Linked DNA regions of Xenopus tropicalis. The protein of the gene in region 1 interacts with the protein of each later gene in a pairwise test. Links are inferred from orthologs where the notes say so. Each region holds a gene or a part of one and is shown in the gene's direction. Other genes may lie near its edges.

Region 1 (3,754 bases):
TTTCATTTGAGACTTTCCTTCTCCTGAAGGCTCAGTGATGTCTGTCATATTTCATGAGGTTTATTAAAGACCTGGGACATTATTTACAAAGACCTACTATAAATCATATAAATCCTTGAAATCATGAACAGAGTAATACAGGGGGATAAAAAAAATGACCAAGATACTGTATTAGAATTCATAGAAATCCACTAAGCAATGCATATTGATACAGTCGGTACTATCCTGATCCTTAGCAGAACCAGTAGGGTGCATGCACATCCAGCAGTGAAGATTAGTGTCAGTGTTCTGATTACTCCTACTAGTTAAAGGGATATTTTAAGATAGAAAATGTGCTATAACAGACGTGCTCCTACCAAGGTCCTGCTTCCTTTAGCATGTAACTAGTAGCCTATTTGAATATTACATGTTAGCAAATGCATTATATTAAAAGGCTGAGAAAAAAATGCATTATATTAAAAGCCTGAGAAAAAAAAACAATTTGGAATTTGAGTTACATATTATACTCATTAAAAGCTAGTTAAACAGTACAAATTTTCCATAATACAACACTCTCTGGTTATTAAGGTGCTGGGAACAAGGCAGGTGTCTACAGTTGTCTGGAAGCGCAGAGTGCCCACGCTGCAGTAGAAGGGAGCGCCCAGCACAGGCGACCATGTTGGGACAGTCACATACACAAATGAGTGAGTGCCCCAGCTCACAAGCTCTTCAGAACTAAAATCAAATCCTGCCTGTTGGAGCCCTAGCATAGTATCTGGTGCCAGGTGTGATTCAGAGCTCACTCATTCAGAGTAATGGCTGTACTTATTACTCTCCATGCTTTGTCTGTAAGTTACTCAGCCACATAAATTGTAAACTTTCTAGGCCTGGAACCACCTTCCTCCTGTGTCACTGTTTCCTTGTTGGCTCACTTCTGACTGTCCTGATAATGTACTATAAAAAAGCGTAACACTGCATACACAAATAGCACTTTATAAATAAAGATTTATTCCTAATTATTCCTAATTTACAAAACCAGATGTGAAACCCCTGCTGCTCCCTATAATTGCTGCCTGCTTAGAGTAGTTTGTAGTTGCAGGGCCACTTTAGAGGATAATTTATAGCTGCCTGTGTGGGATGCAGGTTGACCAGTTTTGTTCTCACTTAAAAGACTGGAGAGCTATGAATAAAAACCATCCACAAATACATGTCTGTCACTAACTAACGCCTTAAAAGGCTGCTTGCTATGAGGTGCCACTATGCTTATCTGCAGGGAAGAGCTGTTTTATTAGAGATATGGTATTAATAGCACAGCAAGCAGAAGAATGTCCATCTTCCTAATTATCACACTCATTGTTTAAATAATTCAGTGAGTATCAAAACTCCAAAGGACTTGTCCCAGCCATTTCATTCTCTGACTGGAGGGCAGACCTGGCACACTTTAACCGCAGGTAAGGGTTGTTTTTACTTTGCACAGCAGCTAGAGACATAATATAGTATAATGCATTAAAACTCTCATGTACTTTAAAATGCCTACTGAGGATAAAAAATCAGTTATTTTATTTCACTAATTTTGAAAATGTGTGTGCAACAGGGTCCAGAACTCTAGGTGCTTAAATTGCACTCACGCCACCAAAGCAAGATGGTATTGTGTTATGTTGTAACTTGTAGTTCAGCAATAGCTGGAGAGCCACAGGTTGGAGGTTACTCTAATAAAAAGGCACTTACAATTTTGTTAATAGCACTGCAGTGCAGTTTATCCTTGCAGAGGCACAAACTATAAACAGGATACTCTGGATGAAGTGGAACTGTCTGCCTTATTCTCCTTTAGTACACAAAGCCTGATGGCCAAATAGAATTAAAACTTTCTAGAGACCTAGAATATGTATCTACACAAACCACTGTATGAATTCAAATGCAATGATTTCTTTTGACTGTACTTTTTGGAAAGGAAGCACAACAGTTTATGATAATAATATTATTGATCTCTTATGCTGAATGCTCGGCGTGCTGAATGCTCGGCGTGCTGGACTAGGTGCAACTAAGAAGCAGACCTTGCTTTATATGGTAATAAGAAATAGTGACACATTACTATCTGTTATAGGAACATGTCAGTACAGGTATGGGACCCATTATCCAGGATGCTTTGGACCTGGGGTTTTCCGGATAAGGGGTCTTTCCGTATTTCGGATCTCCTACCTAAAGTCTGCTAAACACATTATTTAAACAGTAATTAAACCCAATAGGATTGTTTTGCCTCCAATAAGGATTGATTATAACTTAGTTGAGATCAAGTACAAGCTACTGTTTTATTATTACAGAGAAAAAGGAAATCATTTTTAAAAATGTGAATTATAGGATTAAAATGGAGTCTATGGGAGATGGCCTTGCCGTAATTTGGAAAGCAGGAACAAGTGCATGCAAGACACTGGATTATTGGAGGGAAGGCAGCTGATTTCGGCAGCAAAATAATGAGAGCTAAAATCAAAAGTACATTCGATTCATTCATTCACGTCGCTGTTCAAAGAATCATAAGCTGCATGCAGAGAGCAGCAAACCAATTTTTTAAAGGGGTAGTTCAACTTTATTTTATCCTTTATTGTGTTATAGAATGTCCTATTCTTATTCAACTGGCCTTTCATTTTTATTTTGTACAGCTTTTGAATTATTTGCCTCTTCTGCCTCTTTCCAGCTTTAAAATGGGGGTCACTGACACTGGCAGCCAAAAAACTATTGCTCTGTGGAGCTATTTTATTGTTATTGATGCTTTTTATTCCTTTGCTTTCTATTCCGTGTCTCTCTTAAATAACCCAAAAAGCACAAAAAATTTCAAAATATCTACATCATACTAAAAGTTAATTTAAGGGTGAACAACCTCTTTAACAGCTGTCTGAATCATTAACCACAGTATGGGATCTGCTTTGGGAAAAATTAAAAATATATTTAAAACAGTCAAACATTCTTATAATAAATGTAAAAAAAAGTTTTAAAAAACAAAACATTTCTGTTGGGAAATATTTGCATGTTAAAGGTGTTTGGATTTTAATTTAATGCCTTGTTATAAAGATACATGAAGAGTAAATGGAAAGATAGAAGCAGGGCACCATACAGTACATACCATTCTGGCAACTAAGCCATGAAATGCTCAGCTTATACGTCTCCATAAAGAGAATCATAACAAGCACCAGACCTTTTGAGTACTGGAATCTTAAGTATAGAAACTGTGACCATGGCAAAGACCGTAGGAATACTCAAATACCCAAATTGTTGTGGAAATGAAATCTGACAATAACATTTGGTGCAATACATTGGATTTTCTCTATTGCTCCTTGGCGTGACAGATAAAATAAAGACAGGGTACCCAGATGAAAGGGAAATCAGTGTCACATCACAGGATTAGCAATAAGGTGTGCAGAGATACAGAGCAGGGCACTGATTTGGAAGACAGAAATAAAACTTGTCTTTAACGAGCCTGTCAGAATGCTTTAGAGATTATGTTGCCATTGACAAGTATAACGACCAGCTAACGGAAGGTATGGGAATTTGCTTTTTGGAGTTTGTGATTGTAATTAAGATGGGAAGAGCTAAGTGCTGCCTTAACACTACTGAGCAGCCGCACATTAGGTTGTGCAATTATCAAGCTAAGCAGCATTGTCAGATCTACACTGGGGTACGAAACCCTTCTCACAAAACAGACAGAATTCTATGAGCTTAGCTACACAGATAAACCGCAACCCAGTATGATCCAATTGTCATTCTCAGACTCTTCAAACAC
Region 2 (3,654 bases), on another chromosome or scaffold:
TTTGTGCCTCTGGGTACTGGGAATGCCAGGGGGGGCTGTAAGGTGCCACAGACAGTCACTATTTATTGGGCTGGGGGGGCTGTTTGTACCTCTGGGTACTGGGAATGCCAGGGGGGCTGTAAGGTGCCACAGACAGTCACTATTTATTGGGCTGGGGGGGCTGTTTGTGCCTCTGGGTACTGGGAATGCCAGGGGGGCTGTAAGGTGCCACAGACAGTCACTATTTATTGGGCTGGGGGGGCTGTTTGTGCCTCTGGGTACTGGGAATGCCGGGGCCTATTTTTAATCCCAGACCTGACAGGGGTGGGGTTTGGTCACAGTGCCCTTATGAGCTGTTTTCTCTCCCTTTCCCTGTAGGAGAAGACAGATGTGGAGGGGACCTTATTTGTGTACACAAGGTAAGTTGCACCATTGCACACTCAGGGGGTATCAGTTCCCCTGCCCTGTAATGCTTGAGCCAATCGACTTTATTTCCCCCTTAAACTCCTTTCTCTGTCCCTGCATAGATCTGCCTCCCCGCACCATGGATTCACCATCATGAATCGGCTAAACATGCACAACCTCGTGGAACCCGTGAACAAAGATCTGGAATTCCAGCTGCATGAGCCCTTCCTGCTGTACCGCAATTCCAGCTGTGAGTTCCTCTCATTTGCTATGGAAATTGGGTCGATCTGGGTGCGGGGCCACGAGCCCTTGGCTCCCCTTTTTCTGCTAAATTCAGGCAAATGGCTTCCCAGGAAAGGAAAATAATTGGGCTGGCCGGAAGGTTTATTCTCTCCCCCTTGTGTTATTTAAGGCTCCTTACTGGGGGAGCCGGTGAATTTGCACTTTTTTTGTGCATTTTCTTGGATAAAGGCTTAGCAGTAGCAGATACTTTGTATCAAATAGAGAAAATAGGCACCAGAATTCTCAATAATTTTGCACCCAACACAAAGGGTAAAGACCATACCTTGTAAGATTTACCCGTTTGGTGAGGTCAATAAACGAGGGGATCTTCTCCCCATATGTCCACCTAAAAGTGTGCGATACCAGGCTTAAGCATCGTACGATATTCGGTGCGTGTATGGCGGATCAACGAGACGACCGATATCTCAAAGGCTGCGGATATCGCCTGTCTCGTCGATCGCCAGGTTAAAAGAGGCGCCCGATCAAAATCTTTTAACCTGGCGATCGATGAGACAAGCGATATCCGCAGCCTTTCAGATATCTGAGAAGAAAATCTGCTTTCAGGGCTGAATCGGTAGGTGGAGGAGGTATAATTCCTATTGTTTCTACCTCCATATCTTTCCCGAGACTGATGGTCGCAGGAATGATCAGAATTGCTAGGTGTATGGCCACTTTAATTCAAGGAGCTGATGTAGTTCCTGATCCGACGGAAACACACCTTATTATTATCAAAACCAATTTGAGGCCAGATATCGGTTGTGGGTGCCCATACTCGGGCAGCTGAATCAGTCTGAATGATCCGTATGGGCATCTGAAATCTACCTGTGTATGGGCACCTTAAATTGTCATAACTCGGCTGATATCCGCAGGCTTTGCGATATTGGGCGTCTCGTGCGTTTGTGGCCACCTTAAAGGAACAGTAACACCAAAAACTGGTGTGTTTGCCTCAGAAATTTCTATAAACAAAGCTGCTGTTTAGCCACGGGGGCAGCCATTCAAAGGAGAAAAGGCACAGGCACATAGGAGATAACAGATAATCACTATTGTATTCTAGAGAGGTCATCTGTTATCTGCTATGTAACCTGTGCCTTTTCTCCTTTTTTCCAACTTGAATGGCTGCCCCCATGGCTACACAGCAGCTTATTTATATAAACTATAGTAGTGTTACTGTAGCAAACACACAACTGTTACCAGTGCAGGGCAACAGTACATTATATTTTAATCACTTTAAAAAACTTTCATTTATTGGTGTTACTGTTCCTTTAATTTATGGTTCTAGAGTATACAAAGGGCTGCAGCTATTTTGAGCGGTGAGTAGCGTTACAAACTGTAGGCTAAAGGTCCCCATACACGCTGAGATCCGCTCGCTTGGCAACCTACGGGTGGGCAATATCGGGGGAAAAAAAAAAAATTCAATCGTTTGGCCCTGGGGCGTAACGATTGAATTATACTGGCGGCAAGGGGCAGTCGGTTCGGGGACCGCATCAATGAGCCGATGCGGTCCCTGATCCGACTGAATCTTCTAACCTGGCCGATCGAGATCTGGCTAATTTCAGGCCAGATATCGGTCGGCCAGGCCCCTCGTTTCTGCCCCTACATGGGCAGGTGAGGGCCACGCACAGCAGCAGTTGTGGGCACACTAAAATCAGCACCCTTCATGTGCGAATAGGCACCATTAATTAAAGGTTCTTGCATCCAAACCCACTCCATACGCTCCCCGCCAGCCCCTTGGATAAATCGGCCACAACTTGATGCCGGGGACCCGGGAGCTACCAGCACCTTGAACGCTTAATTATGGCAAAGCATGCTGCGTTCTGGGTAGAAAAATGGCACATTGTTCCCAAATTGTAATTTTTAAATGCACTAAAGCTGGCCATACACGCACCGATAATATTGTAGGAAACCCCATTTCATACGATATTCGGTGTGTGTATGGCAAGTTGGCGAGGCGACCGATATCGCAGAAGACTGTGGATATCGGTCGACTCGCCGATCGGGCGCCATAGAAGGCACCTGAGCAAAATCTGCCTTCAGAGCTGAATCGGCAGAAGGAGGTGGGAATCCTATTGTTTCTACCTCCATATCTGATGTTTCAGCCCTTGAACGTTAGTGGTGAATTGGAACGATCTTTTGTGCGACCGATGGCTGCACGAAAGAACGAAAATCGCCACGTGTGTGGCCACTTTAATGGTGGCCAGCATATCCCTAGAGGGAGTTCTTTTTGTCACGTGTTTGACAAAGAAGCTTCTGTTGTTGGGACAGACGTCTCCGCGCACATGTGTGCCAGGGTGCAGTGCCCAGCGCTGAGCCCCCAACTGCTCCCTATTTCCTACACTTCTGGGGATGTAACATCTCTGCTCTATTGCAATCAAAGCCCTTGGTTACTATGGAAATGCTGCACTGCTGCTGACGAGGTGGGTTTAACCCTTTAGCACAGGTCCTTCCCTCCAGTTGCTTGTTTGGATTGCAAATTATTCATTATTAATTTCCCCCAGTGCTTTTTAGAGATAATTCATCATTCAGTCCATGCTCAGAGGAGCTGACAGTCTGAGGCCCCTATTGCATTTACACACTACGATCAATTCAATCAGAAGCCAATTAACCAGCCTGTGTATGTGTTTGGGTGTGGAAGGAAACCCATTCAGACACAGAGAGAACATATAAACTCTTTGCAGAGTGTGACCGAGCAGGAATCGAACTCAAGGCCCCAGTGCTGATCAGTAAACCAATCAAAACAATAACCTGCCCCTATACACTTTGCCCACCCAATACTGAATTGCCAACTACCTTAAACTCCGCCTACAGTACTTCAATGGCCTCCACTTTAATCTAGGTTGAAGGCCATAACCAAGAAATTTAAACTGCACTGTAGCGCCAAAACTATATTATGCTGCTATGTTGGACTTTTCAAAGCTAAATTAAAATGTTGTATATACATATGGGTAGGGGGTGCCATAGTGTTTCCCTTAGACAGAACACTATGGGGGT
Region 3 (3,754 bases), on another chromosome or scaffold:
AAATTATGTAAACTAATGTTTGTTGGAGCAAAAAGGCCACAGTAGAGCAATTTACATTAATACTGAAGGGCCTCCACCATTCATTGTGCTGCGCAATTGCCATGTGAATAGAATATCAAATATTTAATATTTACAAAGCCTTTATTCTGGCCGAACAGGCACAGATTTTCCATAATGAACTGTATAACTGTACCAAATGTATGACCCGTAACACCTATTACCACTGGGGGCCAATTTTATGCAAAAAGTTTAGCAGTTTTGGACTAAAGTGAGCTTTTATTCCATACAGTATGGCGGCAGGGAGAGAACATTTTGCTATTTTTATTGGGATTTTCTAAAACAAATCTGCAGATAGTGAAGTGATAATAGTTTGGAAAAGCTGTCATATGGTTTTTGAGGCAAGTTATTATGGCACTGTGTGGAACTTTAGAAAAACAGTCCAAAGGGACCTGCATTGGTGGAGAGCCCTGCCAGGCGGTCTGGCAATCTGTGAGTTCTGGGGCTGCTGTAAGGTGCCAGTGACAGTCACTGTTTATCGGGCAGTTTGGCCTCTGTGTACTTGAAATGCCAGGGCCTACTTTGACTCCAAGTCCTGCCCAGAGCCGTGCCTACTGCTTGTGGGATAAAGACAAACCACCCTCCTTCCCCGCTGATAACATAGTCACACGCAGGACTCTTCGCTCTGCCACCACTAAGTATTTCTCTCCCAAACTAGTAGGCAGGGACACATATGGTATATTTCATTCAGTAACATTTGCTGCTGATGAATGGCACCTTCGCTTTGAGATTCTAGCACCTGAGAGAGTACAAGCCAGAGGTGCCGGTGCGCTACGCACAACAATAATACAGAAGGAAGAAGCCGCCCCATGAGCTCCCTGCACTGAGGCGCAGCTCACACGCCCAGAGGTTGTCCCTCCCTGTCACTGCAACTCTTTCTCTCATTTCCTGGGTCACTCCGTTGCTATGGTGACCGCATTGCACCTGAGCCCTGCGCTTGCGTGTTTCCCTGCAGCCCGCTGGCGCAGACCTGGGGGGCCCGAGTGGCAGTAGAACGCTTAGTAAGGGGCACATGACTGTACGGTAATAACCTATTCCTCCCTGGGGACGAGTTACAGGAGGCCTCCCGGCATGCACCGCTTTATTGTGGTCGGTAGCTCAGGGAGATAAGAACGGAGCTGACCGGACTGACTGGCGCGGGCGAAAGGGCACTGGGTGCCGGGACAAGAGAGCATGACTCCCAGCGCCCACTGACTGGCAGAAAGAGACGCCACACACGCACAGAGACGGTATGTATTATAGCTAGTGCACCTGTCCCTGGCTGGCGCTATTCCTGCCCTATATATGCGCATCATTCCTGCACTCTATCTCTCTTGCAGTTGTATAGGGAGGAGCTCTGTGCGTTGGTATAACTGTGCCCTTGCCATGTAATCAGCGCTCCTAGGGCATCATTAAGTGCTAGGGATTTGCCTCCCAATCTCATTGTGATCTCTCTGATCTGCCTTGGGAGAGAGGGAGGGGGGCGCGCTAATGGCTCATCGTCATCGCTGAGTGGGGGCATCGCCAGTGTGCAGGATGGACGTGACCCCCATGGGACGCTAAGGGCGGGTTCCTCTGCTCATGCCCGGGGCTGGGAGCAGCCTGTCTCTGTTCCACTCAGTCAGTAGCCTGCCCGGGGATGGCACGGCAAGCCCCTGTGTGAGGAGCCCATACACATGCTGATGAGGAGCGGTGGGTGAGTGGGTGCAGGCTGCGGCTATGGGGGGAGTCACTGAGATCATACTACACCTCCTTGGTGCTTAGCGCCTCATTAGTACATCGCATCACTATTACAGCACCTAGCGCTGGGAGACACACAATGGTGATTAGTGACCCACACTAAAGTCAGTGTTATCCGCAATGCAGATGGAGTGCAGGGCTGTCCAACCCCTGTCCTCTTATAGTACTACAACTACTGGGTTACTGAGGGGCCATGGGTTGGCCACTAACCTTTGGGCTGGATTTGCTGGCAAATTCACTGGTATCTCAGCTTTGCTGTATGGGGAAGATTTCCTTTAGTGATTGAGGCTAATAAGTGCTTATACAGAGCTCCCTGCTCTCTGTGGGATGTTTGAAGTGGGTTTATTGATAAGCATGGATATTTATATTCCTATTATTAGATACATTATTATTCTTTCCATAGGACTCTGCCACACCTCATATGTAATACAATATGGGCGGTTAGGTCAATTATTGCCCATTGTTGTGCCCTTTGTATGCCTTGTTTGAGTGTTGGGAAGCAAGTGTCCTGATATTAATAAGATGCTGTGTAAGACAGTTTTCTGGTGAAGCCTTTGTATGGAGCCTATTAGCCGTAGTCATTTAATAATTCATGCTTTTATGGAAACAAAGAGAGCGCTGCGTGGCCCATGTGTCATTATGACCTATCCATTCTGTGTGCTCCTGGGAGTATCAATGACATCAACCATCTCCAACTACAGCAGTGCTGTGCCTCCTGCCTCTCTCTCTATGGAATCCTCCAAGGTAGGGTGTTTTCCTTCCCTCCATGCTGAAAAAAGTAGTTACCGGTTCTTTTAAATCTAAACAGTACATGATGCTACTGCTGGAGTGATTGCTAAAATGTTGCTTACAGTGTCCCCACGAGTAGTTCAGCAGGCTCGCCACAGAGCTCGTTGGACGCATTTTCTTCACGCCTTATTGTGTCACTCCCAATGTGGGCAAAAGTTTGCAGAAAATCAGGATGTTATTGAATTTACAGCAGAAATACTATTTTAGGGCCAGTCTGACACATGTGAACCTTATATGAACATGCATTTGTTGACAGTGCTGTGCGTATGTGAAAGTTCCCAACCGTTGCTTGACATTGTATGTAACCTTGTTATCAAGTTATTGTCTGCTTTAATTAGCCATATTGGGCTCATAGAGGCTCACTGCAGTGTCCTTCACTAGGCTTGGTGGCAGGAAGTCACGTGTGCAACAGATACTTTTCCATGATCAATGCTATTGCGAAAAATTGTTTAGTTTTGATACGGTGCAACAATGTTATTATACTCGTATAACTGTCAGGCTTGCTAGTGCCTTTTTTATTTTTACAGTTTAGTTACTGTATCCTTTAAGGCAGAGTTTTCAATAAATATACAGTTATGGGACCTGTTATCCAGAATTCTTGGGAACTGGGTTTTCTGTAAATTCACCATACCTTAAGTCTGCTAAGAAAAACATTTAAACATTAATTAAACCCAATAGGATTGTTTTGTATCAAGTACAAGGTACTATTTTGTTATTACAGAAAAAAAGGAATTTTTTAAAAAAATATAATTATATAAATATTCTGAATATCGAGTTTCCAGATAATTGATCCCATATCTGTATTTATGTTCGTTTAAAAATGTGTTCTGTTATAAATATGTGTACATAGATAATTGTTTTTATAGTAACTTAATATGTCGGCATACATGTTGCTTCCAGGCAGTGAGATAAGACAGCATCACTCTTGTATATTTTGCATTGCTTGCCAACACATTCTAAGGGTGAAGACACACGGAGCTACTTAGTAGCAGCTACTTGTCACGGCTACTAAATGCCAGAAAATCCCCTGCCATACTGAGAATTTCCTCAAACACACGTAGAGACTTATCAGTAAATGATCAGTATTGTCTGTTTTAGTATCCTTGACAAGTAGCTGCTACTAGTAGCTCTGTGTGTCTTCACCGTAACATTGCTTTCTGACAGTTAGTTAATGGTAAGTGCCATCATA

Evidence for each region.
Region 2: the proteins of fhl2 (region 1) and dcp1a interact in binary tests that used the Homo sapiens proteins (3 or more experiments, as listed by UniProt). The two-hybrid records come from large-scale screens. The link is inferred for Xenopus tropicalis from reciprocal best matches to the Homo sapiens genes FHL2 and DCP1A.
Region 3: the proteins of fhl2 (region 1) and ccdc92 interact in binary tests that used the Homo sapiens proteins (3 or more experiments, as listed by UniProt). The two-hybrid records come from large-scale screens. The link is inferred for Xenopus tropicalis from reciprocal best matches to the Homo sapiens genes FHL2 and CCDC92.

What each region holds. Positions count from the first base shown.
Region 1 is NC_030678.2:111,734,442-111,738,195, reverse strand, and holds the start of fhl2 (four and a half LIM domains protein 2), read left to right. Parts: upstream 1-1,092; 5' UTR 1,093-1,430; intron 1,431-3,754. UniProt on the Homo sapiens protein: May function as a molecular transmitter linking various signaling pathways to transcriptional regulation. Negatively regulates the transcriptional repressor E4F1 and may function in cell growth.
Region 2 is NC_030680.2:150,725,994-150,729,647, forward strand, and holds part of dcp1a (mRNA-decapping enzyme 1A), read left to right. Parts: intron 1-357; coding exon 358-398; intron 399-506; coding exon 507-634; intron 635-3,654. UniProt on the Homo sapiens protein: Necessary for the degradation of mRNAs, both in normal mRNA turnover and in nonsense-mediated mRNA decay. Removes the 7-methyl guanine cap structure from mRNA molecules, yielding a 5'-phosphorylated mRNA fragment and 7m-GDP.
Region 3 is NC_030677.2:160,772,794-160,776,547, forward strand, and holds the start of ccdc92 (coiled-coil domain-containing protein 92), read left to right. Parts: upstream 1-968; 5' UTR 969-1,286; intron 1,287-1,335; exon of another isoform or gene 1,336-1,712; coding exon of another isoform or gene 1,713-1,728; exon of another isoform or gene 1,729-1,732; intron 1,733-1,755; exon of another isoform or gene 1,756-2,405; coding exon of another isoform or gene 2,406-2,520; intron 2,521-3,754.